Linked DNA regions of Lonchura striata. The protein of the gene in region 1 interacts with the protein of each later gene in a pairwise test. Links are inferred from orthologs where the notes say so. Each region holds a gene or a part of one and is shown in the gene's direction. Other genes may lie near its edges. The genes, in order: RAD54B, PSMA1, SUMO1 and TCEANC.

Evidence for each region.
Region 2: the proteins of RAD54B (region 1) and PSMA1 interact in a two-hybrid assay, tested with the Homo sapiens proteins (2 studies listed by BioGRID and IntAct). The two-hybrid records come from large-scale screens. The link is inferred for Lonchura striata from reciprocal best matches to the Homo sapiens genes RAD54B and PSMA1.
Region 3: the proteins of RAD54B (region 1) and SUMO1 interact in a two-hybrid assay, tested with the Homo sapiens proteins (2 studies listed by BioGRID and IntAct). The two-hybrid records come from large-scale screens. The link is inferred for Lonchura striata from reciprocal best matches to the Homo sapiens genes RAD54B and SUMO1.
Region 4: the proteins of RAD54B (region 1) and TCEANC interact in a two-hybrid assay, tested with the Homo sapiens proteins (2 studies listed by BioGRID). The two-hybrid records come from large-scale screens. The link is inferred for Lonchura striata from reciprocal best matches to the Homo sapiens genes RAD54B and TCEANC.

The regions. Positions count from the first base shown.
Region 1 is NC_134603.1:24,218,039-24,226,047, forward strand, and holds the start of RAD54B (DNA repair and recombination protein RAD54B), read left to right. Parts: upstream 1-4,905; 5' UTR 4,906-4,983; intron 4,984-7,926; 5' UTR 7,927-7,942; coding exon 7,943-8,009. UniProt on the Homo sapiens protein: Involved in DNA repair and mitotic recombination. May play an active role in recombination processes in concert with other members of the RAD52 epistasis group.
Region 2 is NC_134608.1:50,396,028-50,404,130, forward strand, and holds the start of PSMA1 (proteasome subunit alpha type-1), read left to right. Parts: upstream 1-4,817; 5' UTR 4,818-4,899; coding exon 4,900-4,902; intron 4,903-5,833; coding exon 5,834-5,878; intron 5,879-8,032; coding exon 8,033-8,103. UniProt on the Homo sapiens protein: Component of the 20S core proteasome complex involved in the proteolytic degradation of most intracellular proteins. This complex plays numerous essential roles within the cell by associating with different regulatory particles.
Region 3 is NC_134610.1:26,736,618-26,743,859, forward strand, and holds the start of SUMO1 (small ubiquitin-related modifier 1), read left to right. Parts: upstream 1-4,228; 5' UTR 4,229-4,337; coding exon 4,338-4,349; intron 4,350-7,242. Other genes in the region: NOP58 (nucleolar protein 58), read right to left, coding at 356-400. UniProt on the Homo sapiens protein: Ubiquitin-like protein that can be covalently attached to proteins as a monomer or a lysine-linked polymer.
Region 4 is NC_134604.1:99,181,586-99,189,665, forward strand, and holds the start of TCEANC (transcription elongation factor A N-terminal and central domain-containing protein), read left to right. Parts: upstream 1-4,965; 5' UTR 4,966-4,988; coding exon 4,989-5,043; intron 5,044-5,073; exon of another isoform or gene 5,074-5,305; intron 5,306-8,080.

The DNA.
Region 1 (8,009 bases):
TAATATTCAGGAAGTAAAAGAAGCCAAAACTTCAGCTAACCCAGAAATCATAAAGAGCTACTGTCTTTTCCTACATGATCTATTATATAAAACTGAGGCATTTTTGAATGGATTTGAAAGCTTTGTGAAGAAGAACTAATGCACAATCTGCCTTCATCTAAATCCTATAATGAAAAACCTTTGGAATTTGCTAAAACTCCACAGAACTAGCTTAAAAGAATCAGTTTTAGGCTGTAAATTGCTCCTTGACATGTAAAGTAACTTCTGTAAACCCAGTGAGACTCATGAAAGAGGTTTTCATTAGTTATGAGGTTTTCTAAATAAAATAGAAGAGGAAGAGATCTTACCTTTGTAGATTTTACTACCTAGATATGTAGTTTGCCCAAATACTTCAGAAAGTTTTCTGATCAGTAAGGCATGTAATGCTTCCTTCAGTTTCTCTTCACTCCTTTATTATGCCTATGAGAAAAATTAGGAAGAGTAAAGCTCAGTAGTGTTTACTAAGTTACTGAGTCTATGTCTAACAAGCCAGCTACTGAATAGATGCTATCCTAACAGCCCATTAAAACCAAGTTTTCCAAAGCAAGCCACTGAAAACCTACAATTCAACACAGGAAAATTGACTAGATTAATGTGAAAATAATCATCAGTCTCTGTTTCAACTACTACTGATGCAGATATTTATCACAAAACTGAACACTCTGCTGATGATCAATTCTGAAGCCAGTTATCTTCTTAAAACTGAAGACAACAGAATCAGTATTACTGAAAAGTAGCAACTGAAATCTGGTAAAATTATATTCCTTAAAAAGATGGAAGTTCCTTATCTACCTGTTTTTATCCAGCCATGACAGGCAGTTCATTTTTAAAACAAAACCATTACAAGTTTGTTGTATTGGCAGATATAATTGCTGTGTAGAATAACTAGGGTTGCTCACTTAAAACATCATAAAAGATGCCATTATTAAACCCCTTAAGTTATGCCAGAGGACTTAAACAGCATATATAGATTAGATAATATGAACTGTAAGTCTAACACTTTGCTTTGGTTTGGTGAATTCCAGAGGATTCTGCTTTTAGAAAACTTTCAAGGACAGATAAGAGAGCAAAACTATGTACTTCTACTGTCCTAGAGTTTCTGTTCTTCTAGAATTGTGGATGCTGTGAGCTACATTTTGCACAAACACTGCTTAGTCCCTGAGGACTAAGTCTTCAAGACACTCTTCAGCACATTTTAGCAAGTTTGAAGACTAATGGAATGCAGGAAAGAGTATTTTTATCAAATGGGGAACAAAAATTTTACTTGTGCTTAACAGAGAAATGAAGTGCAACAGCAGCAATATATATATTATACACATATGTTTCTGTATATAAATATATATAGATGTATACAGCCCTAGCCTAACTGAAGTTCAAATGAAGAGCGGATGGGAACTTTGAGACAAAAAATACAATCAAGGGGGATTCTTCAGGACATTTTGAAGACTCATGTTGGATCAGCAAAACACAGTGCTGGAACCTTTCTGGCAATGGATCTGGGACCTATGACAACAGCTGGTACTGAAGTCCCAGACTTCTGCCAGTAGAAGTTTTCTGACCTGATGAACCAGAGATATTTTCTTATCAATTTCAAGAAATGCACCTTAGTCAAGAGATAAGCAGAGGGAGAGCATCTGATGAATGTCATGCACTTTAGCAGTACAAATCACTTTACCCAGTATCTTTACCACAAAATGAGATAATTTTCAGCTTCTCCTTATCTCCAGAAACTTCCCTCTTCTCCATTTGACCTCAAAACTTATTTTCCCGATTCTACTACAATTCACCAATTGTCACACTCTTTTTGATTGCACCTAGAAATTACATTAGTTTGTTGAGAGATGTCAGTTGCTTGCTTAAGCAAGTAACTTCTAAATAGATTAAGTCACTTAGAATTACAATACTCTGTTGATGTAGAATGCTGTTTGCTTATATCTACTTGCTTAGCACGTGTAGCTTGGGTTGCTGGAAGCCTTAGGCTGAAAGCTAAGGAATTTTACCTAGACATGCTTTTGGCTGGAACTGAGTTAATTTCCTTAGCAATTTTCCCAGTAGCTGCTACAGTGCTTCGCTTTGCCTTTAGAATGAAAAGAATGCTGCCAACACACCAATGTTTTAGTTGTTGCTAAGTAATGTTTATCCTAAAGTCTAGGACTTTAATTTAGTTTCCCATGCTCTACCGGGGAGCAGGTGCACAAGTAGCACAAACCAAAAGATAAGGAGCTGATGGTCATCAGCAGAAACTGCAACTCAGTAACAGTTAATAACATGGACATGGAGAGAGAATCCAATAAGCTGTTTAGAAGAGCCCAGACCAAAAATCACCACTGGACTAAAAGGGCTGTGTGAAGAGCATGTAGGGGAGGGTACATAAATTGTAAGGGTATCATTGTGCAGGGATTTCTTTGTTTGTGAGAGAAAGCACACAAACTGTGACATGCTATTTGCTCTTTATTGTTTCATGAGTTTTATTTTCCCCTGCAGTTCTGGACAAGTAAAAATCCCCTCCAGAATTCACAGGTATCAAGCAATTTTTCAACAGTTGTCATCCCACATTGTTTGTCAGCAGATGCACATCCAAAACCAGCCCTGAGCTGTGGACTTCACTGCCCTCTAACAGAGATTTGGTGAGGATATAGTAACAGGGAGAATACAGATGGGATGTAGTTCCCAACAACATCATCACATAGCTTGCCAAATGCCTGGCACTAATCAAAGCTATTCCACTGTGAAAGTCAGGACACCAAAATGAAATTAGTGACCTTCACTTTTGCATCTGCAGTAGCTTCTGCATTTTAAAAAATGCTTCTTTTTCATGTGACAAAACAAAGCATAACTGTTTGAAAGGCTGGAGTGAACCACAACAGAACTACAAATGTGCATGGCTAAGAAAGCATTTTCAGAAATGCTAGAGGAACAGTCTATGCAGGATCCAGGGATGAGGTGGCACTGAGACATGACATTCCTTCAGCTTTTATTTTCAGAAATCCTGCTATACAGAAGCAATATTTTAGTGTTTTTTGCCACTCTAACACTGTAAGCCACTTCAAGCCAGCATCAATGCCCAAAGGGGCAGACTCACCCCTTCAACTGTGACTGTACAAGTGGTTTCTCAGGCACTTGATGCATCACTCTGAGTAACTGACCTGTTTTAAGACTGAATTGGGGGAAAAAAAATAACTTTGGCAGTTTTATTACGATAGCTCAAACCTATGTATCCACAAATTAATATGCTCCCCACCTCCTCCTCTGAATCAGTGAGAACAGTCAATGTGCTCTGTTCCTGAACTGGCTCATGCAACTCACCATATAGACAACCATACCCTGATTTAATTTCTTGTAGATGGCTCAGCAAAAGCTCTAGGGACTGCATAAGCAGGGCATGACCAGGGATAAGAAACTGCAGCCAGGGCAGAAAGGGAAGCAAGGCAGACAGCAGCAGTCTGTGGTCAGTGATGCTGAGAGATGCTACTCCCTCAGCTCAGCTCTCTAGAGCGGTACATTGGGGAGCTGGATGAACATTCATGTAAAAGGAAGAGAGGAGGGTAAGAATAAATGAACAGCAAGAGCACCTTACACTGATGCAAAAACCTGATTTTTTTTTTTTAATATAAAAAATACGAGGCAATTTAAGGCCTCTTCCAGGAACCACGTAACCACTATAGCTATTTTGACAAAGAACATTTTTGTACAACACTTGTCCTGCAAAACCTAGTCAGAACAGAGCCATCCATGACCTGCCTTGCACAGACCAGAGTCCAGAGAAGGGCAATGGAGTTGGTGAAAGATCTGGAGCACAAGTCCTGTGAGAAGGGGCTGAGGGAGCTGGGGTTGTTTAGCCTGCATAAAAAGGCTCAGAGCTTTCGGTCCACCTGAAAGGAGACTGCAGCCAGGTGAGGGCTGGTCTCTACTCCCGGGCAATAAGTGACAGGATGAGAGGCCACTGACACAGGCTGTGCTGGGGGTTGTGTTTCAGCTTGGACAGCAGAAGAATTTCTTCACAGAAAGGGTGGCCAGCCACTGGAATGGGATTGATTATCTCAGAGGTCTTTTCCAACCTAATTAATTCTGTGAGCACCTCAGCCCTCCCTACAAGCACCTTCGAGCACAAGGTGCAGGGCTGGGCTCTGACACCCCGAGCCAAGCCCAGGGTCAGACCTCGGAGCTGTGCGAGGGGGAATTGTGTACAAGGAACAGAGGAAAGGCCACCGGATTCGGCCTGGGAAGGCGCTTCAGGGACGGACAACGATCCTGATCCCAGGGCACAGAGCTGGCCCAGAAAAATCTGGAGAAGCAACCCGACACCAAGGAACAGCACCTGCGCTGGCTCAGGCAGCGACAAACACCCTCACAGCTGCACGCACCCTCACAGCTGCACGCACCCTCACAGCTGCACGCACCCTCACAGCTGCACGCACCCTCACAGCTGCCTTCCCCACGCGGCGGCGCTGCTGCCGCCGGCCCGGCACCGGGCCCCAACAACGCTGAGCACAAAGCCGCCCGCCCCGGGCCCGGGCCCAGCCCCGCTGCCCCCACCCGTCCCGCCCGGGCCCCGTCTCGCCCCGGCCCCGTCTCGCCCCGTCCCTCCCGGCCCCAGCCCCGCTGCCCCCGCCCGGGCCCCGCTGCCCCCTGCTCGGGCCCCGCTGCCCCCTCCCCGGTGCCCCCGCCGCCTCCGCCCGGCCCCGGCCCCGCTCGCTCACCCGCCCGCCGCCGCTCGCTGTCGCACAGCCGAGCTTCCCTTTACGGCCGCTCTCGCTTGACGGCGGCGCGACGCAGCCGCTCCGCCATGCTGTGCGCGGCAGAGGCCGCGGACCGGCACTCCGCATGCGCGGGCAGCGCCTCCCGGGGGCGGGAAGGGAAGGCTGGCGGGGCGCAGGCGCGGTGCGGCCGCAGGGCTGCCGGGAGCGCGCGGCGGGACAATTGAGCGCGGAGGCGGGAGCGCAGGTACGGCAGCCGCGGGCCCTGCTGGAAGCGACCCCGGGACAGACCCTACCAATGGCATCGCTTCACCCCCCTGCCGTGGGCAGGGACATCTCTCACTAGATCAGGTTGCTCAGAGCTTCGTTCATCCTGGTCTTGAGCGAGGGGGCATTCACAAGTTCTCTGGGCAGCCTGTTCCAGTGCCTCACCGTCGTCAGAGTGAGGAATTTCTGCCTTACATATAATCTATCCCCGCTACCTCAGATTGAAGCCACCCACCCTTGTCCTACTGCTACATGGCTCTTGTAAAAATTCCTTACAGCTATTTCTGGTTTGAAGCGATTTTTCAGTAATGCTGATGTTCTAGGCGATGCGCTTGCTGCCTGCAGTTTAAGGTGATGCTGTGTCACGTCTCCGCAGTTGCCCACAGCCCCTGTTCTGCCTCTGCATCTGTGCCGGCAGTGCCTGTTCAAACACTCCGGGAGCAGCTGCTCGAGTTTGGGCCGGGGTGGGCATTGTGGCTGCCTTTAGCAGAGCTCCGTGCGCACCGTGTTGAGCTGCATGTGTAAAATCTCGAAACGTTCTTTGTATGCATATTTAATTTTCAATGCAGCTACTAATGTACCCTTAAGGGAGAAAGTACAACCGAATTCAATGCCTGACAAACTGTGAGACGGTTTGGGCTGTGGTTTCGTGGTGCGCTGGGTTTGGTCAGGCACGGTTGCTAATAAAAGCCGGAGCAGTGCTTTTTGCATTGCTCGCAGCTGTTTCCCTGCAGCCAGACCTAGCAGTAAGGCAAGGGCATGGTTCCCGGTGTACCGGTGCTGTCTCTCAGGAAAGGGCATATTTGCATATTCTTTCATTTAGTTGTAGTCCGGAGCTGTTCCTTGCCATGCTTCACTCACTCTGATCTTATCTGAAGGACCTGGCATCAGTGGTTTGTTGTATGTCCCTGATGTTCTATTCCTATTAGGTAGTACTGTAAAGTTAGTAGTGTAAAGTAAATTGTAAGCGTTTTGGTTATTTTTTTAACATATTAAAAATTCATTATATTTTATGAAAACTTGTATTTTAAAAAACAAAGATGTAATTCTGGCTGCCATATTTAATTTTAAAACCCACAAACCTGTAACAGTCTTTTTACTTACACGTAGGTAATACGGTAACAGTGAAGTTACTGAGTTATCAAAGATAGTGTCTTCAAATGTCTTAGTAATTTTCAGATCTCCTAATGAGTTTGTTTTTATGGTTTTAGACTAAGTGATAGTGCAATGGCCAAATAGATTTGGGAAACAAAGCACTTTAGTCATGGATATGTGCAATTTATGAATTATACAGCTTCTCTGTCCCACAGAACCTCAAGTGCAGTGGGCAGGGTTAATGTAGCACTGCAGCCATGCTATGCACAGTCCTCCTGCAGAATCCTGGGGTGTCCTGTAATGTCTTCCCAAGCATCACTGTGTAGTGTCGGGTTGGGAAGAGAACTTGTTCAGATTCCCATGGCACCTGAAGCTGGCTGTGGTGAGCACTGGTACTTGCAGTCTGCTCCCCCTGAATATTCTTGACACTTTTGCAGTGTTCACAGTGGCTTTTCATGCTACAGATCTTCCTGTTATAATAACCATGCTACTCCCTTATTGCATAGGGTTAACTAAAACTCATTTGCTGTCACTGTTGTCAGGTAAGCCTAACTTAAGTGAACTGCTGCATACACAGAGGCTTCTTTCCTTGTATTTTTAATAACAGCCACAGTGGAAGTGACAACAGTTGAGGCCATTTTGCCCCTGCGATTTATGTCTAGTAACAGCATCATATATATGCTAGTTGTGCAGATATGGGGAGAGAGTAGTACTCCTGCTACCAGTCTCTGCATGTTTGAAAAGTGTTTTGGCAGTGCTCTGTCACTACTTCAGTGCAAACCTTGGAAATAATGGTGGTTGTGCCCCAGGAAGCCACTGGAGTGCAGAGTAGCGCCAAAAAAGGTGCAGAAACACACTTGCAGCAGAATGCAAACATGCTTTTGAGATGTTACAGAAGTTTGATTCTGCAATCTGTATTGCAGTTTATTTTTAATCCAGTTGTTGGTGCAATCATTTAAAATAAACGTGTAAACAGAGAATTAAACCTGTAACTGCAGTGCAAGTTGTGCTTGCCTTCTTCATTTTGGCTGCTGTGTCATTCTATTGGCATTTTCTTCTTTTGTTTGATTTCTGTCTACTTCTTTGAAGCATTAAGATTATAACTTGTTTTTCTATTGGTTGCAAAAGTAAACTTTGTCATATTAACATTGGTATATGTCTGGTTTTGCCCTAAGATTTTTCTGGGGAATAATGGTCTTATATTTTGAGGGAAAACCTATAATACATTCCTTCCACTGTTCAAGTGGACATAACATGAAGCAATAATATTCACTGTAATTCAGTGATAATTTTCTGCTGAATATTAATCTTATTATGGTGAACCTGAATGACCAATGTAATTGACTGTTTAATGCAAAATGCTGGTCCCAGATATGAGACATACCTTCAAGATTCATTGTTCATTGTGCACTAATAATGGGCTTTTCAAAATTATAGAAGAGTGTATAGAATAGTAAGTTTTGCTTAAAATTGTCTTTCTTTTAATAAAACTGCTGTAAGTTTGCTAAGTAGCCCTATACTGTGTATCTCCAGAGCATTTATTGCTGTTGGGAACTCCATTATTGTCTTTTTAAATTAAAATCGAGGTGTTCAGCTGCAGAATTTGCTGTAGTTGATCTTTCTTAGTACTTAAACACAGCATTGCAACAATACTACCTTTTCTTAAATGTTACTATGCTTGTGAATTAATATTGTTATTTTAAGATCTTGTATGCTCTTTTATATTTTGAAATAGTGCTTTTGTTGTCACCTATGGATATATTTTTATATTTAAAGCCTATTCTGACTACAATTGTCTTTATCTGCTTCCTTCTTGTCCACTCTGCAGAGCAGTACAGCTGAATATGAGGCGATCTGCAGCTCCCAGTCAAGTCCTAGGAAATGCTGGCAAAAAGCCAAGGTTTATACCAC
Region 2 (8,103 bases), on another chromosome or scaffold:
AAAAAATTGAATCCACAGTAAGAATAGGCTGAGTCACTTTTTAAAAGATGTGGTCTAGAAATACCAGGACCATTGCCTAAACAGTAAATATTACAATGTTTATCTCTCTCACAGAACTTGAAAATGCCTGTAAAGAGAAGTGTCACATAAATCCTTAATGCTTTGCCATGGACAGTACGTCATTCCTAGGGCCTTTCCTCTCTCTCTCTTTTTTTCTTTTTTTTTTTTTTCTTTTTTTTTTTTTTTTTTTTTTAATATCCTCCAGAAAATTTGTTTCTGTATGCAAGTGGTTTTCCATTTCTCAAGCAGAAATTTTTGGCACCAGCAGATGCGGCAAAAATATTGTGAACATTTTATTGTGTGATCTACATATAAGGACTCACTGTAAAATATTTATGGCATATAAATGCATAAGTAAGCAGGTAATACTTTGTCTAGTCATTAATTTAATATGACAACGTTAGTGGCAAGGAAATGGGATCCATTAGTGGTCTCATGGCTTCATTTCTGTGCCACGCTGTTATTTCCTATCTGTGATGATTCTTTCATAGGGAGAAATTTTGAACCTAAGATAGTATTTATTTGTGAATCTGTTCACCATTCTCCCTCAAAATCTTATATATCCACTGCTGAAGGTTTGATGATATTTTGGTTTTGATTCAGGAATGCTCAAAAATAGTTCCAACAATATGAATCAACAGAGCAGTTCATGTATTTGAAAGAGCTTATGCAGCTATATGCCCACTGAAATGGATCTTTTATCCACAGAAAATTTGTAACTGCCATTCTTTTTCATTTAAATGAAAAGCTGAGCAGATTTTCTGGTAACTGCAACAATATCTTTCATAATTATCCATAAATTATGATAATAATTCTTCAGTTGTATTTTGATGACTCAAACAATTCTACATATGCTGTTTAAAGCATAACTTCTAGGCTAGCAAGCAATTTATAGCTCAAAGTACATTTTTCTTGTACAATAAAAGCATATTATACAGAAACTCTTCCTCACTCAGAGTGAAGAAATAAAATTCAGGTCCAAGAAATAGCAATAATATCCATCTAAATGTAAATATATTGTTGGTCCAGTCAAACAAGAACCTACAAATAAAAGCTATTTCCATGACCAGGATATGCTACAACAGCTCTGCTGTGTTGAACCTTGTGCCCTTGTTTATTCCAGAACTGGACAGAATGAGCCAGACTCTTCCCTGCAGCTCTCTTTCACAGGGATTATTTAAACCTGCTTTCAGCATTGCCTGCTCTTTCCTAGCCAGCTTTGATGATCAAGCAAGGCTGGTTGCCCTGCAGGCCTGTCCTGAAAAGGTCAACTGATGTCAGTCTACAAAAGCTATGGATTAAAAAAAGTAAGGAGTGGGCTTTAAAATGCCTGTAGTTGATACCTCAATTGGTCAGTAGTTTAAAAATGGAAAAAATGCCTTTGGCAACATGAATGCAAGTTTGTCTTAGAGACTGAAATGTCTGCACCTCTACTAATGTGGCAGCAAAAGAATAGGAAAGAAATTTGGTATAATTTACATAGAGAGGTTATTTTTTCCTATTTACAGTATTAATACAAAGCAATATATTTTTTTCTTTGTAAGAACTTCCAAGATCATCTTTAAATGATTCTAAAGACAAATATGTACACTTATATTTGCTGTCAAATTTTTATTTTTAGTCTTAACCTACTTGATGAAAATGTCATCAAATACTACATATGTCATACACCAAGGCTTCTAATTAATTAATTGAGTAGTCTTGTCACCATATATCTATTAATGAAGCAAATCTCTTACCTGTATTAAATCCAAATATGGATTGTTCACATTGTCAAGGCTGTAAGACAGTTCTCAAAATAACTTAGTCAAAATGCTCAGTCCTGAGCGCATTATGACAGCACTGCTATTTGTGGGCAACCACTTGTCCATCTGACAGGAGTGGCTCTGTGATCTCTCTGGGATCTATTCTTCCCCTTCTCCAAGGGGATGGAGGCACTGCCTTCATTCAGTCTGCCTCTTACTCTGGCACAGCAGTTTTCTTCTCCTCCTTTGGCAGTGCTGTGCCCAAGCAGCACAACGTGCAGCCCCTGGGAGTGCTCCCAGAGTGTCACCACTGACCTCAGAGGAGCCAATCTTTTGCCAAAATACTCCACCTAAATACAGGAGCATAGCACACAGGGGTTAATGTGGGCTGATGGTGAGTGGTATCCCAAAAAGGGACTTGCAGGAATGTTGTTTCCTCTCGTGAATCAGCAGAAGCAGAGGCATAATGGCCTTGCCTTTCAGTTGCTGTACATTAATCTCTGCAGAGCAATGCCTGTCATCGCTCAGATGTCAGATGCTGTTTATAACTCTGCTGGAAACACAGCATAGAATAAAACAGGCTCATTAGTTTCTCTTGAGACTGTATATGCATGGTTTAGGATAGCTATGCTTTCACTGCTGCTCTTAGCTCAAACATTGCAGCAGCAGCATCGGTGGCTCAGACAGTTGTTTAGTCTGTGAATTTGTCCAGTTGCTCTCTCAGTATGTGACCAAAAGACCATGATGTGTTCAGGTGCAGAGGTTTCCACAGTATAGGTATGACAAGACCCAGAAGTGCCCCCTGGGCTTGGCTTGAGCCTGCTGCTTTTAAAGACACCCCGCACCAGAACTGCAGGACGGAGAGAAGTGTTGAATCTATTCAGCATCTCTGTGCCAGCTGTGATTTGGAAAGAGTTCAAAGCCTTTCCTTCTTTATCTGCTATTTACACTGAGGACTTCTACTCCTTACTGGCATCCTTTACATGAAGCTATTCCATAATTTGAATCCTTCTTTTTACTTTTCCCAGTGCCACATCATTTCAAGGTAGGAAACAAGAGTCATGGCCAATGTTCAACGGTGTCAGATGCAGTATGGATTTACACAGTGGCACAGCAATGCTTTATGTTTTGTTCTCCGTCCTAATCATTCCTTACATTTAATTTGGACACTACTGGGCACTGAACTTGTTTTCATACAGCTATCAATTGTGTATTCATTGCTCTGAAGTCATCCTGGTTATCAGGTTACCAAATGTGAAACTAAAAAGGAGAAAATATTATTTTCTCCTTAGATTTTTTAATAAGTAGTTCATTTAAATGTGAGGATAGTTTTAGCTTTACTTTTCAGTCCTGTACTCTTTTATATTGTGATGTCTCAATGTAATATACTGATTGCTTTTTCACTCTGCAATTAGATTTCTAATATATGCAAAACACTTCCTTTCTGGTGTGATGCCTTTGTTATCTGAGCAACAGCCATTTGATTTTTGCCTTGTTGATTTTGCCTTTCTCGCCTTCTGAATCGACACCTTACACCCTCAGTTCAAATACTTCAACGAGGAATAGGCTGGGCCCTCTTTAATGCCAGCACATTGAGGTGAAATCATTGAGGTGAAATCACCTCCAACCCTCTGGCTTTAACCCTGCCTGTAGAGCTCTCGTCCTGAGCCTAAGGGACAAGAAGGAGCATCCAGAAGGAAGTGAATGACTTCCTCCCACGGTAAGCGTTTCCCGTTCCAGAGATTATTCCTGTCTCCGGCATCCCCTTGCGCTGCTGCCCTGGGAACGCGGAGCCGTTGTGCCGCCTGCAGGATCCCCGTCCCCTGCCCCCTTCCTGCTGCCACGGGACCCCAGCCCCGCCGCTTCAGAATAAATTGTTAATAGCTGGACATCTGGTGGCTCCGGGTTTGGCTTTATCTTGTTCTATCCATCTAATAAAGGGGGAAGGATTACTCCGGAAAATACTTCGGTTGTTATTTAATAAACCTGCGACAGCTCATACAGCTCCCAAAAGTTCTTCATTTCTGCAGCTATTACCAAAATTCTCCACGAAGTTAAGTTTTACAATCCTGCCTTTTGATCGCTAAAACCGCGGCTGCTGACATTCCTGGCCGTACAAACACTGAACAATGGGGAGTCTTGGCGTGGTTCAGCCTTCTATCCAAATTAATGCGGTTTTGCCAAAACGAGGGGAAACGTCTGCGTGTCGCTCTGCTCCCGTGGCCGGGGTGGATGGAGCTCTGGGGAGTCCGGAGTTCCAATATAATAATATAATATAAAATAAAATAAAATAAAATAAAATAAAATAAAATAATATAATATAATATAATATAATATAATATAATATAATATAATATAATATAATATAATATAATATAATATAATAATATAATATAATATAATACATAACATAACAAACATTAGAATAGAATAGAATAGAATAGAATAGAATAGAATAGAATAGAATAGAATAGAATAGAATAGAATAGGAGTCCCCTGTTGCCGTAGGAAGTTACTGGGGAGTCCGGAGTATAGTATAGTATAGTATAGTATAGTATAGTATAGTATAGTATAGTATAGTATAGTATAGCATAGCATAGCATAGCAAAGCATAGCATAGCATAGCATAGCATAGCATAGTATAATAATATGAGTCCCCTGTTGCCGTAGGAAGTTTTTGGGCAGCGGCACCAGGGAGAGGCTTCGGGAATATTTTACTGCAACCTCCTGAAGCTCATCAGCTTGCTTCATAAAATGCTTACACATCCTGTTCCCACACAAAAACGGTGAGGAAAGGAAGTAGTTTCCGAACCAAACAAACTTTTTTATTTATTATTATTATTATTATTAATCAGAAAGCTTAAAAATAACAAAACAATTTCGGCAATTAAAACCGGCCCCCAAGGAACCGCCTCGCTCAGGGCGGCGCGCAGGCGCGGCCCATCGATGAGTCGGGGCGCGGCCCATCGATGAGTCGGGGCGCGGCCCATCGCTGAGTCGGGGCGCGGCTGGCGCTGCCTGCCCGCCGCCCGCCCGCAGCGCTCCGCTCGCCGCCCGCCGCCGGGAGCCGCCGGGAGCCGCCGGGAGCCGCACCATGGTGAGGGCCGCGGGCCGGGCCGGGCACACAGCCCGGCACAGGGAGCCCCGCCGCTGCCCGGCCTGCCCGGCCCGCGCGGGGCAGCCGGCAGAGCGGGCGGCGGGGAGCGGGCCCGTGAGTAAGCAGTTCCCGGGCCGCGCGGCGCCGCGGGCGGGACTGGGCCTCGCTGCCGGCGGGAGCGGGCCCTGCTTGGGCCCCGGGGCACAGACCTCCGAGCCCCGTGAGGATGCGTGCGGATATCTCCCCAGGGGTCTGGAGCACCTCTGTTGTGAGGAGGCTGCGGGAGCTGGGCCTGTTCAGTCTGGGAGAGGGGATTCATTAATGCCTACAAATATTTCATAGGCGGGCGAAGAGGACTGTGCCAGACCTTTTTCAGTGGGGCCCAGTGACAGGATAAGGAGCAGTGGCCATAAACTGAAACAAAAGAAGTTTCACCTCAACATAAGGAAAAGCTTCTTTACGCTGATACAGAGCACTGGGAGTGCTGCCCAGGGGGGCCATGGAGTCTCCATCTCTGGAGACATTCAAACCCACCTGGATGAGCTCCTGTGTCACTGCTCCTGTGACCCTGCCTTGGTAGGGTTGGCCTGGATGATTTCTAGAGTCCCTTCCACCTCACAGTTCGACAAAAGGAATTTAACAAAGTAAGAATTTGTTTACAGAAAGGGCTGTTGTTGGAATGGGCTGCCCAAGGAAGGTGGTGGAGGCACCATCCCTGAAGGTTTAGGGAAGCTGGATGTGGCACTCAGGGCCATAGCCTAGTTAACAACTGGGTCGTGTTCAGTCACAGATTGGACTCGATGTATCAGAGATGTTTCCAATGTTATTGATTGTGTAGTGCTGGGATTCTGTGAAAACAACCAGGGTTTCCTCCAGGAGCACTCTCTTAGCTTATTAGGGATACTAATGAGTTTTATTTTGTTCATTCCAGTTTCGCAACCAGTATGACAATGATGTCACGGTTTGGAGCCCGCAGGTAAAACCTTTATACACTTGCTCACTGGGGTTTTAACTTGCTTTTTGGGTTTTCTCCACCTCACAGCAGTGGTATTACAGTCACAAAGGTTGTGCTCAGGTACCTGAAGCTTCCTACAGGCTGCTCCCCTCTCCCTTTGTAGGCTGTAGGTGACCAAGAAAGCCCTCAGCACACCCCTGTCTGCTGATGTATGAACCTAAGTGCTGCTTACCTGGGCCTTGTCCCCTCCAGGTGCTTAAGGCAGTTGCTTTCTAAATGTACCTGTGAGGTGCAAAAGAGATGGTGTCATCTTCGGGTGGTTGGACAAGATGATCTTGTAAAGATCCCTTCCAACCCAAACCATTCCATGACTCTGTGATCCATTCACAGAGCTATAATAAGTTGGTAGGTAAGGTACACAAAGCATGGAACAGTTGCAATCTCCCCAAAGTTAGGCCATTACTGGGTCTTTCTCTATTTTGTCCGCTAGATAATTGGGATGTTCAAGTGAGATTTACATTTGAGTTTGAAATTTTACTACTTATGAATCAGTTTCACACTGTTTTTTGTTACTGAAAATATACATTGTGTGTTCTTAAACTTACACAGGCTGTGTTGAAAGTAAATATTTTGGAATTTTAAAAGGCACTGTCAGCTGAGGTGTTTAATATTGCCTCTTCTCTCACTATGGATATTTTAAGACAGGATACTTACAGAAAACCAGAGCCTTGGAAAAAGACTCGTTTATGTATTCAGGAAAACTGGAGGTTTATTTAAAATGCAAGTAGCAAATTGTATTAATATAAAGCTAATGTATCATTAGTTTGTGGGTTTGTATTGCTACTGAAATTATTCATCATGTAGCACTATTGCATGTGAGATTCATTTTCTGTACAGTGCAACAGAGAGTGTTCTCTCCTTTCCATTCTCCGTGAAGACAGCCTTGAATATTTCCCTTTTTTTCACTCAATGCCATGATAGGTGTAGGTGCCTTTGAAGGTGTTGATGCCTTTGAGCTGTTTTCAGTCTTCTTAATGGTTGTGTTTCTCTGGCAGGTTCTGTATCACAAACTTTTTTTGTTTTATCTGTTACTTTAAAAGTTACTTTTAAAATGATAACATTCACTTGAGATTTTTAGCAGATACTGCAAAATATCAGCAACACAAATTTCTCTGTTTTTTTAAGTTGCCTTGAAAATATTAATAGTGTTGGGTTTGTTCTGAAAAAAAGACATTTTAAATTGCTGCTGTGATGCAACTGCTACTCTATCCATTCTTGCAGGTGAGGCAGTCATGTGATGCCATAATAGTTTTTGGCACTGTTAATGCAAGAGCAAATAATACTTTACTGGGAGATGTTTTTGAATATGTTAATAAAGAAAAGGAAATAGGAGATTTAAAAACTCAAAGTGGTTTCTCATTTTTACAGTCTTGCATGTCATTCCTGACAGCTGACAAATTCATGTTGGACAGGTCACAGCAATTCAGTGCTGCTCTTGGGCAGGAAATATCTTATGTTACTGAAATTCCAGTTACAACAGGGGATGAAATTCAACATTAGGGTCTTTCTAGTAGACCTAAAAAAAGAACCTTATGCCAAAAATCCCCAACAACCTATGGGAAGGTGGTATCCTGTAGATCATCCCTTGCACATTCACCATAACAGTTGCTGTGTTCCCCTCCTTGCCAGCTGATGGGATGCAGCTCCATGGTGTCATGCTTGCAGGATAGGAGTGCCTGTATTGGCTGGCTGACATAGGCTGGAGTGCTGAAAATGGGGAAAACCCTCAGTGGTTCTGTTACATGCACACGAAAGCTCCTGACCACCTCTGCAGAACTTGTAGGGACTTCATTTCCTTTGAGACCTCTACTCCTGTTTCAGACTTGACTGCAGTTGGCCAATAACTTGTTCAGAAGTTATTGGGGAATGGCTGGTGAGACACAACAATTGTGTAAGACTCATTTCTTCAGCAAACCAGAAATTTTGCTTTGCATTAAAAGTTAAGTATCCAACTTCAGCTGGAAGTTCCGTCTTTGAATCATGTGCTGATTTAACCTATTGTGCTGTGAGTGTCCCCGTTGGGGTGGGATATCAAAAGTCTGAAAATGCAAAATTGGAAGCTGATTCAGAGGATTAACTAGAGGGTGATTGACAAGCTTCAACTTGGTTTTGCAGGGCCGAATTCATCAGATAGAATATGCCATGGAGGCAGTGAAACAAGGCTCAGCTACTGTGGGGCTGAAGTC
Region 3 (7,242 bases), on another chromosome or scaffold:
ACCAAATCCCGCCCGGCACAGGGGAGGAAGGGAGCGCCAGAGATGCCTCTTGGCAGGCACCGAGTAACTCCCCTTCTGCCCGCCGAGCAGCTTGCCCCTGCCCCGGGGCCTCTGCTCCCACCCTCGGCCCTGCTCGCCCCGCGAGGGGCCGCACGGGATGCGGGAGCCCTCACTCCCTCCCTCACTCCCTCCCTCACCCCCACTCCCTCCCTCTCCCTCACCCTCACCCCCCACCGTGTTTCCCCGTTATTCCCTCCGCAGGCCCGACGCGCTCCCCTTCGCCCTCCCTTCTGCTCCGCCGCAGGTCGGCGGCCGCGACCCTCCGTGCGAGCGGCAGCGCGGCCCCGCGGCTCACCTTGAAGATGGCGTAGCCGGCGGCGGTCTCGAACAGCACCAGCATGGCTGCGGCGGGCGCCGCGTGCGCCGCCGCCACCGACCGCGCTCAAGCACGCGCGCGCCGCGCGGCGGAACCGGAACGGGAAGCGGCGGCGGCAGCGGAAGCGAGAGCGCGCGGGGAGCGGAAGCGGCGGGTCGCCTTCCGCCCGCCAGCCACGTGGCGGGGCCGCCCCCGCCGCGGGTTCGAGTCTCCTGACGCACAAACACGCGGGAGCTGGGGCGCCGCCGGTGTGCCCTTCTGGCACCTCACCCGAGCTGTCCTCGCTTCCCCGGGTGCCGCAGTTGGCGGCAGGGTCGGCCACCGTTGATAGGAAGCGGGTGTGTTCCCCGGGACGCGAGGGGCCGTGCTAGAGACTTTGTTTCCCGAACGGACCCCGAAGCAGGGGTCAGCGGGTGGTCCTCTCGGCGACCCCGAGCCGCACCGGCCGCGGTGTCGGGGTTCAGCGGCGCTCCCGGCCCTCTGCACGTGGCGGGTTGCGTTCTCTGCCCACTCCGCTCTCGCTCCCGTGGCCTGACCTGCAGCTCATCGCACCGAAAGCATTTCCTTTGCGTAAAGAATTGTTGACACAGTGCGATTGCGAGTATTTAAAAGCTTGGCTTCGCCAACAGACAAGCACCAAATTGCTCGTATAAAACGCGTTTCGAACGCTGCGTGTTTCCCCGCGCTGCTCGGCTCTCCCCGGGGCACGGGCAGCTCCGTCTGCGGGAAGGCACGGCCCGGGGCGCTGGGGCGGCCACTTGAGCCTCCTCCTACTCTGGTGCCACCTCGTGCTTTGTCCTTGGCACAGCCCGGGCGTGCACAGCGCGGCGCCTGGCTGACCTTCTGTGCCGCGGCCCTGCTGGGGAGCCGAGCAGCTGCGTGCCGGTGGGAGGCGGGCGGAAAGCGCCGCTCCTTGCCCTTAGAAATCCCCGCTTATTTCATACGCAGGGTTAGCTGTACTGAAAACAGGCAGAGATTTTCCTGCCCGCAGGTAGAGAGGCTCCAAGAAACGCTTTTGATTTATATCAGACAGTCATTGCTGCGTTTTATGCAACCATCTGTATGAGTCAGCATGCCTTTGTTTCCAGGAGTACGCTGGAAAGTCCACAGTGAGAGAAATCTGTGGACTTTAATATTTCTGAAGATTTTTTTATTCAAAGGAAAGACTTTGGTACTTTACATCACATAACCAATTTTCTTAAAATCCCACAACCAGTAATATTGCCAAAGAAATTAGGTTCAAGGAGGTAGAGAATTTCCAGGTTCTACCTAGTTTTAAAGTACTATTTCTGGCCCTGCTGGCAGAGTACTCTTATTATGTAAGAGCTACTGTTAACTTAGCTGGTTGCCCTAGAATACTACATTCATCCTGTTGGCTAGCACTAACTGCTATCAGGCAAGCAAATTGGTATTATGAGATTACAAATTGTTTATAGGTTAAAGTCTCCTTTTTAAAGAAATCTGTTTCTGATGGACTGAAGCTTTGCACAGACTCTATGTATGTGTGGGCCAATAGCTTTGAGAAAACCTCTTGCAGCTATTGGCTCCTATACAGTAGCTTTGGAGAAATCAGTCAACAGAGGTGAACTTTATTGGCATCAGGTGACTGAGGTTAAGTGCAGGTAGGAAAATAAGAGACATTATAAAACACCTGAGAATTCAGTGAGGTTGTTAGGGCAAGTACTATGGGCAGTGCGTGCAAATGCAAGGCTGGCTTTGGGTTTTGTGGGAAGAAGCTTGTGTAAGTATATTTGGTATTTTTTAAACAGCTTTTGTTACTTTCTCTTTAAGTGAATTCTATGTTGAATTTGAGCCATTGAAAAAGAAAAGTGAGAGCTTTACTGCTGTGCATCCACAGTTTTCACAGTCTTAGTGGAGATTAACTTTGAAGATCCTGTATAAAACTAGCTTGTGTCTTGGAGAGCTGGTGCATCCACAATTGATGGAATAAGAAGGGTGGTGAAAGGTGGTGCTACTGTTAGTGTGTGTGCTGATAAGCACATTCTAACCCTGTATCTTTATGGCTATGCATGTGGATAGATAACTGCACTCTAACTCATATGAGTGTTAGCTTTTATTATGGGATTACTTGAAAAAATTGGGTTTGTGCCAGAGTCTGAGACTTTGGCCTTAGCACAGTAAGGCTCTGTTTTTAAAAACCCATTTAAAATTTATAAAAAGCAGTAATGTTCAGGATAGAATATTTGTCATTTTCCATTTTGCTAGTATTGTGCGTTGTTGTGGAGCCCTTGCATGGCTTATTTTGGTGCTTTGTGTGTATTATTAAGCTCATAATGAGCTCTTACTGTGAGCTTGGCATAGCATGAACATATTTGGCTTTTCTGCTTGGCCTTGTCTAAGAAAGATCATCTTCATTCTCTAGCTCTGTATAGCATTTGTTTTGGTTCTCTTTATTTATTTTTCCCTCCCTTGTTAATTCTGACTTGTTTTAACAGTTGTGATTAGAACTAATTCCCATGAGTCTAGATACTGATTGTTCTGCTGGCTGGCAAAAGTGCACCTCTTGGTGTAGCTCTGTTTGTAGCTTGGCATTCACTGATAAGCAGAAATGCAGGCACAGAGATCAGCTGCTTTGGTGTTTGGTGTTATTACAAGGGAATATGGCACACAGAGCATTGGCCTGTTTATGTTAATGAATGCCTCTTGCTCAGAGCTAATGAATGTACTCTGCACTTTCCCAAAGGTAGATGGTAAAGTTGAAACTCTGTTTAGTAGCATAAGGGTAATAATCTCATTTTTTCAATTGAGCTAGTTTCTGTTGATTCATTAATTTTACATTCATGCTATTTCATGGTTCTCATGTGTGGAGTTTTTTTTCTACTTGCTGGTGGTCACTTAGATCTAAGCATATGCCAGTAGTGATGCCATGCAGGAGTTGCCTGAGCAGTTGTAGAGGGGATGTTAGGACTCCATGCTATAGTCCAAACAGCTTGCAGCCTAAATGTAATCTTTTAGGTAGATGTTATTTCTTGTGCAGACTTCTGAATAGCGATGCTGTGCCAATGTAAAGCAGGGCACCTGTTCTAATGATACATCTTTGCAAATTTATTCAAATGCAAGCCTGGCTGCAGATTTGCTTAATACATGCAGATCCCATTGCTTGCATGGTTGCAAAAAAAACACTGTCTCTAAACAAAAGTGAGTTTTGCTATGGCATATTGTCTTAATAACAACCTCAGCAAGATATTAGAGGTAGGCAGTATGAAAGTGATTTTTGCTCCAAGATCTACTATTGTGGGAAGGGTTATGTGACTTCACATAATTGTCAGGATTGGAAGGGATCTCTGGAGAGCATCGAGTCCAAGCCCTGCCACGCAGGGTCACCTGCAGCAGGTGACACGGGAACATGACCAGGAGGGGTTTGAATATCTCCAGAGAGGCAGACTCCATGACTTCCCTGGGCAGCCTGTTCCAGTGCTCTGCCACCCTCAACCTGAGAAAGCGCTTTCTCAAGGTGAGGTGGAACTCATTATCTTTTAGTTTATGGCCATTACTGTTCGTTCTGTCATTGAGCACCACTGAGAAGCGTCTGGGACCATCCCCTTGGCACCCGCCTTGGAGGTATTTCTGTGCATTCGTGAGATCCCCTCACAATCTCCTCCAGACTGAACAGGCCCAGCTTCCGCAGTCTCTCCTCATGAAGAGAGATGCTCCAGGCCCGTCACCGTAGCTGTGGCAACCCTGGCTCCGGTCGCCAGGGCTGCCCTTAACGTTGGTCGCTTCTTTCGACGGCGACTCTCGCCTCCCCCGCGGCCTCGGCGGGAGCCGGTGCCGCGCGAGGGCCGGGCGGGGCCGCAGGCGGGGCCCGGGAGGGAAATGAGCTCAGGCGCACCGGAAATCCCGCCCGTGCCGCGGCCCTGTGTTTGCGCTGCGGGCAGAGAAAGGAGCGGAGCGCTTGCAGCGGCCCAGCCGAGCCTGCCGCACGACACGGGGCCGAATCATGTCTGACCAGGTACGGGCAGCTGTCCCGGCCGCGGGGGAACGGCGCGGCGGCCCCGGGGGCTCGGGAGGAGCTGCCGCCCCCCGCCCGCACTCTCCGCCGCCGCGGGGCAGCCCTGCCCGGGGCGGGCAGAGTCGCGGTCGCCCGGAGGGCGCCGGGGGGAACGTTCTCCGAGAGGAGTGTGTGTGTGTGTATGGATGGATGCCGATCTCCGACCTCGGCCGATTCGGGCCCCTCTCCGCGTGCATTTTAATCCTTTTCTCTTCTTTCCTCGGGGTGTTTCGCGAGGAGCGCGGTCGGGCTCCAGGCAGGGATACACGGGGGCCGGGGCGGTGTCCGGACGAAGCGAATCGCCGCCGGGACAGCCCCGGCCCTGGAAACCCGGGAATGCGGCGAGGGATAAGCTGTGTTGCACAACTGTTGTTTCCTTTCGTTTTTCGTTTCCCGGGTGTGTGGTAGGATGGTTTTCCCCCGGAGCGGGCTTTGTGAGGGTTAGGCTAGGCTTGCCAGGTACTCCGTTCGCCCGAGGAATGTGAAAGCCTGTTTTTCTCCCCCTCGTTTCTCAGCTGAGCGTTGCTTGCTTGTATTAAACACCCCGTCCTTTATGAAGGCTCTGTCCTGCCTTCGCTCCAAATAATATTCTCGTTATGCCCACATCATTTCTGTTTTCTGAGCCGGGGAGTTGAATAGTTGCTTGTACCGCAAGTTCCTGGGTTGCTCGGCCTGGCATGTATACAGTGCTTTGCCTACAACTATTGCTTTAGGCTATATGTCCTGCTAGTGGAAAGTTAAAACGGCGTTCCGGTTTCAATTTGTGTTCCGTTTTGCTTTATTTTTTTTATATTGTCGTCATAGGGCACTGTTTTCTATCTTTGATTTTTCCCAAAGTGTAGCTATCGTGATAATGTCAGTACCTACATGTGTTTCTTGTAGTGCTGTGAAGTCAAGAATAGTACTGGTGCCAGCCAGGAAATTAAAAGTCCCCAGAGACAAGGCTCAGCTTAGTGCATACCGTGTCTGCTTTGGGGAGTAGCCTTGGTGCAGTAGGAGCCGTGAAAAGAAGCCAGCGCTGTGTGCGCTGGTGGTCTTCCTCCCCGCCCCCGACTTCCCAGCACAATGCGGCTGACAATGGTGCTGCTGCCTCTCTGTGCCTGTGCCTGGGAGAGGGGCAGCTGGGAGCACAGCGATTGCTGCCTCCTAGGACACATCGCCCCTGTAGCAAAATACGTGAAAGTGACTGCATTTAAAAAAAAAAACAAACAAACTCACCAACAATTTCTGAACTAGATTTTATAGACAGATGTTCACGTGACCTGCTCTCTAGTTGTCTGCATATCGGAACCAAGGTATGTTTTAGCAAATAGCAGCTTTCATTACTTAGGCAAATCCTTCCCCAGGCAAGTTCTGCTAAAATACATGCGTATTTTGTCTTTGAGATTGCTTGAAGTATGTAAAATTCCATGTATGTGATAACCTGTTGTGGCTATGTATCTTAAAGGTCTGTGAATAAGGAGCCTGCTGTTTATTTTTAATAGATAAGCAAAACACTGTTAGACGTTGTGTCATTCATTTCTGGAGCACTGTGCAACAAGAGCTAAACAGATGCTTAAGTAGAAGAATAATGTAAGGTTATGCAGCACTGTAAATCTCATTCCTCTGTTTATCAATCTTACAAGAATAACTTGATTACCTAAAATTGTGAATTGCTTAGAGTATTGTTCTTTTTGGCCCTGGAATTAAGTTAAGAGGGGTGTCATTTATCACCCATAAAAGAAGGGTTACTTTATTTTCAGTGGGAAATTGACTTTTATGGTAAATAAAAATACTTGAAAGAAGGGCAGACTTAAAAAAAACCTCATGGTTGCTTGGTGGGATCTAAGCAAAAATGAAACAAAACACAAATTGTTTCCCCCTCCCTTCAAGTGTGTTAGGCTGTTTTTGCATTATTTTAATCTAAATGTTATCTATTAATGTAATCTGTTAATAAAGAATGCTGTAGTTTGTGTGTATGTTTTTCACTCCCTTAAAAAATGTAAGCATTTATTTGCTTTGTTATGAAGCGTGTTCTACATCTATTCCTCTTTTGGTTTTGACAATTTTCCTTTAAAATGCTGAGTATAGTTTGTTTTTTTAAGGTTAGACATTGAAGTTTTATCCCTTCTGAAAATTGGAGGAGGAAACTTGCAATATATTGCAAGTTTGTTTTGTGTATGTTTAGTTTTTGTTAGTTGCAATAGCAGTACCAGTGTGTTTCATCCAAGAAACTTCGTGTGCTTTTTAGGGTCCGTATATAAGTGTGAGACAGTGCACAGAGTCTTACATTGTGCTCTTTAGGAAAACTGCAATGAAGCCTTTAAAACCTTAGGCATCTAATGAAAAGTTAGAAATTGGAGTGCTGTGGTATTTCTGTTCTTTTGTATGGTGGTGTTTTTTATGTCCTGTTTCATGAGGTACTTTAAAGCACCATTCTTTTCACAGGGCAAGAAGTCTGGAGGCTTCCTTGCTAGTTGCTGATCCAGGATTTTGTTAATGGATGCTAGTAGTTGTAACAACTTTGGAATCTCCTTAGTTTCTTTATTTCTAAGTAATTTTGTGTTGCCTTAACCATCTGGCGTTGAATGGCAGTATAGTTCACTGACAAAATGCAGAGAGCATTTTCAGACTTGCTGGGTCTTGTATCCTGGTGTAAAGTATTTTGCTCCTAAATTAAGCTTTGATTATTGGCACTTCTATTATTTGATTTTATATTATTTTTCTTCTCCTGAAACTACAGCTTTTTTTCCTCTTTATTTTGTGAATGAGAGGTTGTGGGGCTTTAAACAAGCATCTTTATGATTTGAAGACTCCAATTCCCTCTGCTTATTCTACTCTTGGGCACTTTCCCTATTTGTTTTTAATACTAGAG
Region 4 (8,080 bases), on another chromosome or scaffold:
ACAGAAGTCACAAACATGATAAAATGGTACAAAATAATGAGAAAAACTTTTAGAAATACATGCCACAAGGTAGTCAGAAAAAATGTTTAAAAATCACCCGCAAAAAAACTATCATCTCCACAAGCATTAATTTTATTCTAAATAAAGTAATGTTAACTGCCAATTTTAAAAGTGCTAGAACAGATACTATACTCAAGAAAGCCACATGTTCACTTACAGTGAGTTAATCATTAGCATCATCTTCCTGCCCAGGATGTAAATATATGGGAGTCCTAAATTTCTTTGTCTTCTTTGAAATTTCCAGGATTTTAAAATAGTACCCTTTGTAGGCTGGCTTAAGTATATGCACTATTGAAAATGCATGTGAAGGTGTAAATAGCAAGATAATAATGTTTGCCTTTATGGTTCAAGAGAGTTAAATTGAAAGGTGGCTGCAAAGAATCTTGTGATACTGAGTGACTGTGCAAGCAAAAGGAATATGAAAATTAACTGCAGGTCACCACAAGTAATGGAATAAGAAAAAATAATCAATTCTCTTTACATGGATATAGTCAGTGGCTCTAAATTAGCTAATACCTCTAAGAAAAAATGATCTGAGAATGGCTGCATTTTCTTTTGGAAACTCACTTGCACTGAAAAAGATCCAATATATTTTTCTCATATTTCCTGTACTGGCATTGCAGTCCACCAAGATGTGTAGTGGTGGAACACAGGATCACTTTGTAGTTGATCTACTTGCTGGTTCCTTCAGAAGTAACTATTTCAAGAGCACTGTGTGTATATAAACAACCCCAGGCCTGCCACAACAAATTCATATTTGACTCATTAACACCAGACTGGTTCACTGCCTGTGCATAGCAGAAAAGGGGACACAGAGAGAGCTGCTTATCTCAATTTCCCTCAAATGAAGTGTTCTTCAGTGCTTAACTAAGCAAATTACTCAGATGGCTTCATAACACTCCGCTGACTCTGGCAGAATTTCTTCATAATCTTCCTGGCAATTCAATTTCAGGTCTTCCAGGTGGTATATTCCCTCCCATGTACTGGAACTCATGCCAGGAGGAAGAGACAGGAAACACATGGGATATATCTCTCATCAACACTACCTGGTTAACTTTATGTGCATCATCCTCATAATCCTAAATTCAGCACACTCCAGTGTTACAGAAAATGCACAGGAATCTCAAGACGTGGAAATAAATAGCATGGGCTGCCATATCAGGAGAGCTGAGCAGCATTACTGCCAAGCTCATCCACTGCTCAGTGCTGGAGGCTTTATCTTGTCACACAGAAGCAGCATCAGTTCAACACCAGCCTAAGGAAATCCAGGGCCTCATCCACCTCCTTCTCAGAACTGGATCAGAGCCTGAAAATGTGAAAGTGACTCTTGAAAAGAACAGCCACCCAAGAAGTCACTCTTTGCATGTATCAACAAATTTCAAATGCTGCGATTGAAAGTGTTCTCACAAAATGAAATCTGTCATAAAATACGGCCCAATTCGTGGATTTTCAGAGTCTAGGAATATGACATTTATATAGGATTCCCTTCTGCATATCATTAAGGATAGAGGGAGATGACTGTTCAAAACACTTTGTGTGGAGTTGCGTTATTTGTATGTTTTATTATCCCTGTATTATGTATTGGTTTATTCCTTTGTGGGGCGGGAGCACGGCAACTTTGGCCTCGATTTAATTTCATTTAATTATAATGCTTTGCTTCATGGTTCATATTATGTTTTTTGGGTTTTTTTTTCCTCTCTTGCTAGTAGAAGGCAGGGAGCCTTTTTAAAAAGAGAATCACATTTCCACATTTTGTCTTTTTCCTGGGAACTCTAAAATCAATACAAATCCAGACTTATGGACAAGATAACCTTTAAACAAAAAAAAAATTAAACTGAAGAAAGCTTTTCAGGAAGAATTACAGTGGTGGAGTACAAAATTAATGTCATAAATCCTATTATGCCATTAAGATAGGACACAATTTTAAAAATAAAGTAAAAATATATTAAAAATTATGAATAAATTATATCCATGTACTTGGTTTTGTTGGTTTTTCTTTAAAAGTAACAATTTTAAAAAAATCAAACAAATTACAGAGGCGTATTTGAAGCATATACTATTCTCTACAGAAACCTTATGATGGACCAATATTTTTCCAAATAGTTCTCTGGATACTCAATATTTTACCAGCTGCCAGAATATCTCCATCTTTTGAATAGAAGCCTATGTTTCTAGAAATGCAGATGCTTATCACAGCCAATACTGAAGTTTCAAGGAAGTTATCACTGGTACACTGATATTATCCTGGAAAACCATACAGAGACAAAGACATACACATATATCATTACACATGTATACATATATGTATGAATTTACTGAGTGTATAATTTTAATATTTTTTTAATTTGCTTTACTTCAAAGGTATTATTGTATCTGTTCTATAAATGGGAAACTGGAATAATGATGAATAATTTTATTCATTGGATCAAAGACAATTTAATGGAGATGCCCAAACTGTCCTCTGAGTGAGGAACCAGTCTCCAGGAGAGGCACCCTCAATTTTGATCCCATCTCAAAGGAGGGCTAATCACAAGGAAAAAGCCATGTTCTCTTTTTGCTTTCCTGCCAAGGGAGCTCTGTGACTTTGTGGTAGGCACTTTCAGCTGAGGACATAAGGAATTCGGTATGTACTGTTCTCATAATCACACAGGTACAGAAAGACTAAAGAAAACTGGCATTTAAAGCCTTGGAGCCCCAAACTGAAATGAAACTGCAAACTCCTGGATGTTGCAAAGAGAGCTGCTGCTGAATTCCTGACATATGTAGGCTACAGAAATAATTCAAAATATGTAACACAGGCCCCTGCATGACATGCCACATTTGAACCTGGAAGGTTCTGATCCTGTTCTGCTAGTATGTTACTGTGTCATTTCTGGACAGTCATACTTCAAACTCTTGATCACTGGTTTCATAAAACTCTTTGGCATAGGTTTTGTTCCACTCTTTTTTTTTTTTTTTTTTTTTTTTTTTCCCGTGTGAGACACAAAGACGAGGCAAAAAGGAAGCCTGATTTCAACTGTGGCATTCAGCTACTCATTGCATCACATATTCAATCGCTGGTGAATTCATGAGTCTGGCACAAACACACTGTGAGTGACGAATTGAACAGCATTAGCAATCAGTGTATAATGCAACCATTTCAGCTCTTTCAAGGGAAGGTTTGAGATCACTCAGTGATGAGCACTGATAAACTGGTTCACTACAATAATTTATCTATTTTTTTTTACATCCTCTACAACAATGCAAGGCTTTTTTTCTCTGTGTGGTTAGTAATGGTGATGTTCATTATGTCAAAATAAGGAAAAAGAGGTCTGCATTACATGATATTCTTGCCAAAACATATTTGGTGCCTTCAGGTAGGTAAAATCAGATTACTGACAGCAGAGGGCAACACAGACCTCATTAGTGAATAAAACCAAAAACATGTATTAAAAAATCATACAAACATTTTACTGTATTGGAGTATAAACCCCAGCATCATTTATAGATTTACTGTAGAGCCAAAATTCTGGAAGTAGCAATCTCTTAAAAAATAATTTTGAACACCTATGTGAAATACATGAAATAGGAAGTACATGGGAAAGAGGAAAGCATTATAACAAAGGCAATGACAAATACCTTTGACTAAACTGCATTTACTTTTAGACGTTTACTGCATAATCAGACATGTCCAGCAGACTTCATCATATCAAAAAGCTGTAACCTTACGAGACTTTATATTTTTTTTTAACTCTGTGTATACCAATAGCTCCATTTAGCTGATTATACCAAAAGCAACACAGTACTATATTGAAAACAGGAAGTTTTACAACTTTTTTGTTGTTGTTCTCCGTTAGCCTTTATCTTGTGTGTCACACTGCCTTCCCTAGCCATGTTTGCCGGAGAAGGACCATATAATGACTGAAAGTTTCAAATCACATGAATGTCATTTATTTTTCATTCATTTTAGGGCTGAGAGAAGCATGGTGGGGCTCGCAGACCAATACCACAAGAAGGTCATGCCCTGCCACAGGGCAGCATCATGGTGTCCCTTTCGCCCCACAGCCAGATCCAAGTACCAGATCCAAGCCCAAAACAGCCGGCAGCCTCAGTGGAAAGAAACTGTGCCCGCACACCTGAGGCTGCTTGGGACAGCGAGTTATTTCCAGGGCTGCCGCCCGCTCGGGAGCGTTCTCACCCTGCGGCAGCCACGGGCACAGCACAGGAGCCCACAGGGAATACACCTGCCACGGTCATCCCACGGCAGATTCACGGGATCAGTTAGCTTGGAAAAGAGATCAGTGCTGATCAGCTTGCTCCGAGATCAGCGAGTCCAGCCCCTGACACAACACCGCCCTGTCAGCCAGACCACGGCACTGAGCACCACGTCCAGACGTCCTTAAACACCTCCAGGGACAGTGACTCTGCCACCTGCTTGGGCAGTCCATTACAGCATCTAATCATTCCTTCTGTGAAGGAATTCTTCCTAATGTCCAATCTAAACCTCTCCTGGCACAGCCTGACGCTATGTCCTCTCATCCTGCCACTAGCTGCGTGGGAGAAGAGGCCGACCCACAGCTGGCTACAGCCTTATGTCAGGTGGTTGTAGGCAGTGATAAGGTCACCCCTAAGCCTCCTTTTCTCTCGGCTAAACAACCTCCGCTCCCTCGGCCGCTTCTCCTAGGACATCTGCTCCCAGCCCTTCTCTGGACACGCTCCAGCACCTCAGTGTCCTCCCTGCAGAGAGGCGCCCACAAGTGGGCACAGTACTCGAGGCGGCCTTAGCGGTGCCGAGCACAGGGAAAGAATCGCTTCCCTAATCCTGCTGGCCACGCCATTCCTGGTACAACGAGACGTGGTTTCTGTTTCCTGAGACACGCGGAGCCGCCCCACGCCCGGTGTCCGCCCGCGCCCCGGCGGCGGCGGGAGCGGCGCGCAGCCGCGGGGAGATGGCGGCGGAGCGGGGAGCGGGCGGGCGGCGCCATGGCGGGCCGCGCGGCGGAGGTGAGGGCGCCGGGGCGCGGCGTGCGGGAGCGGCGCGGCGTGCTTCGCCGGGGGCAGCGGGAGTGCGGCTTCTCCGCCTCACTAGCGTCCGGGGAGCCGCCGCCCTTGCCTTGGCGCTGGCGGTGAGGTCGGGGGAAAGTCTCAGAGGCACAAGCCGCCGGCTGCTCCGCAGCCCTGGTTTGCCCTTCAGCGCCGTGCCAGCCCCGGCTGGCCCTGGGGACCGAGGGGAACGGGGAGCAGCGCCCAGAGAAGCGGGGCTTTGGTAGGTAGGGCTGAGCTTGCTTTTCCTCCTGGCCCGGCTGTGCGGGACAGTATTTCGCCCCTGAGCAGGACAGCAGTGGGTCAGAATTAAGCTAGACGGGTCCGGGGATGTGTAGTAGGAACGGATATGAGGAGCCAGAGGAGGTTTAAGTTGGAAATAATTAGAAAGAATTTGTTCACCACGGCGATTAGGTGCTGGAATGGGCTGCCCAGGGAGGTGGTGGAGTCACCGCTCCTGCAGGCGTTTGAGGACGTGGCACTCAGTGTCATGGTCTGGTTGACAGGTGATGTTCAATCACAGGTTGGACTCCATGATCTCAGATCTTTTCCAGCCTAATTAATTCTACGATCTTGTGAAATTTTAATTAAGAATCTGGAGAAAACCCCACAGAGTTAGCATGTCCCTGGCATTCTGGGTCACAGAGTGTGTGGGCACGCCGGTGTCGTGGGAATCGAGCACAGGCAGATTTGCAGGCTGATCTCCCCCAAGCTTCATGGCCTGGTGACCGAGATGAACACTCCAGTAGCGATTCTCAGCCGCTGGTGGCATGAGCCTGACCCCAGATCTCAGCCAGACAAGCTGTCACCTGTGGCTGGCTTCGACGCCAAGCGAATGTGAGCTGCTTCCAAATGCACACGACTGGGCTGCTGCTCCCAGCTGCCGTAACTTCTGTAATTCCACTCACAGAAGAGGCTGACCTCGGAAGCTACAGGATGGATATCTGTAATGGTGCTATTATGGGAATTCTTTATGTATTTTTTATATTGGTCTCCATGCAGCATTGATGTCTTGAAATAAGATATATGTTGGTATAAATATAGAAAGGAGCTAGAGTCCATGCTTTTAAATGTAGTATTGTTTTAATAGTTAAATAGATAAAAATCCATTTCATTTAAAGTGTATTTCAACCTTTGCTTAAACCAGTGCATCATGGGTCTTTGATCAAGGCTCTAAAGTATTAAGAAATTTTGTACTTTCACTTTTAAGTGTTCATATTTTAGCATAAGAAATGTCAGCAGACACTAATAATATTTTACAAGTACCATTTGTTTAAATCATACTCTTTATCCATTCAGAATGGATGGCCTTTTCAGGAGCATATGCACTCTCCTGCACACAAAGGATTTATTTTTAAAGGAAAAAAGTTTTATAATTTTTCAGTGGAAAACCTGTAAAACAACAACAGTGATACTTAATCTAAATATGGCCCTGGCAATGGAATGACAAATAGAAATTGTGTAGAGCCAAGACTTAACTAAAAAAAAGAATGTTAAAGCAATGAAAATACAGTGTTTATCTGACAAATGATGACAAGCTTGCAGAAGTTCATAAAGCATGTCTTTATTACTTACGTGTTCCATTTTTATATTAATTTGTCAGTACAGTTTTTCATAAAAAGACATCGGAAACTTAGCATTTACCTTTACTTGTAGTGGGCTAGAATTTAATTCCTTGGTAGCTGTGTATGATTAAGAATAATCTTTAAAGCTATTTTGTCAAGGAAATGTGTTCAAAAGAAAGCATTGCTTATTTCTCTCCAAAATGATTCATATTTTCATTCTGAAGTATTAAGTTAACAAATGTACTTTAGATGGATATGTCTTAAGTACATTTTTACTTACTGATTTAGGCTTCTGTTTTCAAGACAGTCTGTTTTGTTGGACTTCTATGCCAATGCAGAGCTCAGTGAAAGCAGGAAATGTGATCCACTCCAGGAAAGCTTTGTTTAGATTGAGGTTGTCCAGGTTTCAAATAGGTACATCTGCAAGAGGATATAAACAATATTTGTGCAGACTGAAAAACAGATGGAGACGTAAGAAAATTTGATGAGATCTTTCACTTAAAAGCCAGTGTTATACCTGCAGCTCACAACATGTTCTTCTTTTCTGTAGGTTTAAAAAGTTCTAATTCTTCTTGGATAAATGAAAAAAAAATTAAGATAAAATTACAAAATAGTGGAGGAAAGCTGTAAAACCAAGAATGAGCATGGATGGTAACATCTTTGTAGGTAAACAGGGAAAGAATTTTCAGTCTTTTGTCGTTTTGTAGTAGACAATTGTTTTATACATAATTTTGTAGTTATAATAGAACATGTAAAAGTCTGGTTTTTTTTCAAGTACTGGCTGCTGGAGACATGTTTTGCATAATACTGTAACCTTTCCTTTTTAAAAAAGGTGCAAATTCCCTATCATTCTGTCTGAGGTGGAAAGATGGGAAGACAGTTCCCATTTTTTTACTTCTAAGAGCATCATAGTGTATAAACCAATCTCAATGTACCAGGAATTTTGAATTACAATTTCCCAGTCTTTGGGGGACAATGTTATGAATGCTTCTTGTGCACAGAGATTGAGTAGAGGGAGCAGAGGGATGCAATCCCAGTGGTGTTGAAACACCAATAAGACATAAAATTAACTGAAACTGTTACCTGTATAAGGCAATACAGTTAAAGGATGTTGAAAAAAATGGTTTCTACTTGGAGATATCACAGCCTTCTTGAATTATTTTGACTGGTTTGCTGTCTGAAGTGATTGGAAATATGAATATGAACATTTGCATCCATCCAGATGAACAGTTAGGAGACTGAACTATATTGCATAAAAGTAGTTATTTAATAAATGATTACACAAACCCACTTAGAACATGTTTCTATTGCCAGGAATGTTTCTTGAGTGAGGGAGAATGTTTACAATATCCTCTTGCTGTGGGAAAATAGTGCTCATGTTGTCTGTCAGATGTAACAACAATTCTTTTTTGTTATAAAATCTGTTATTGTTG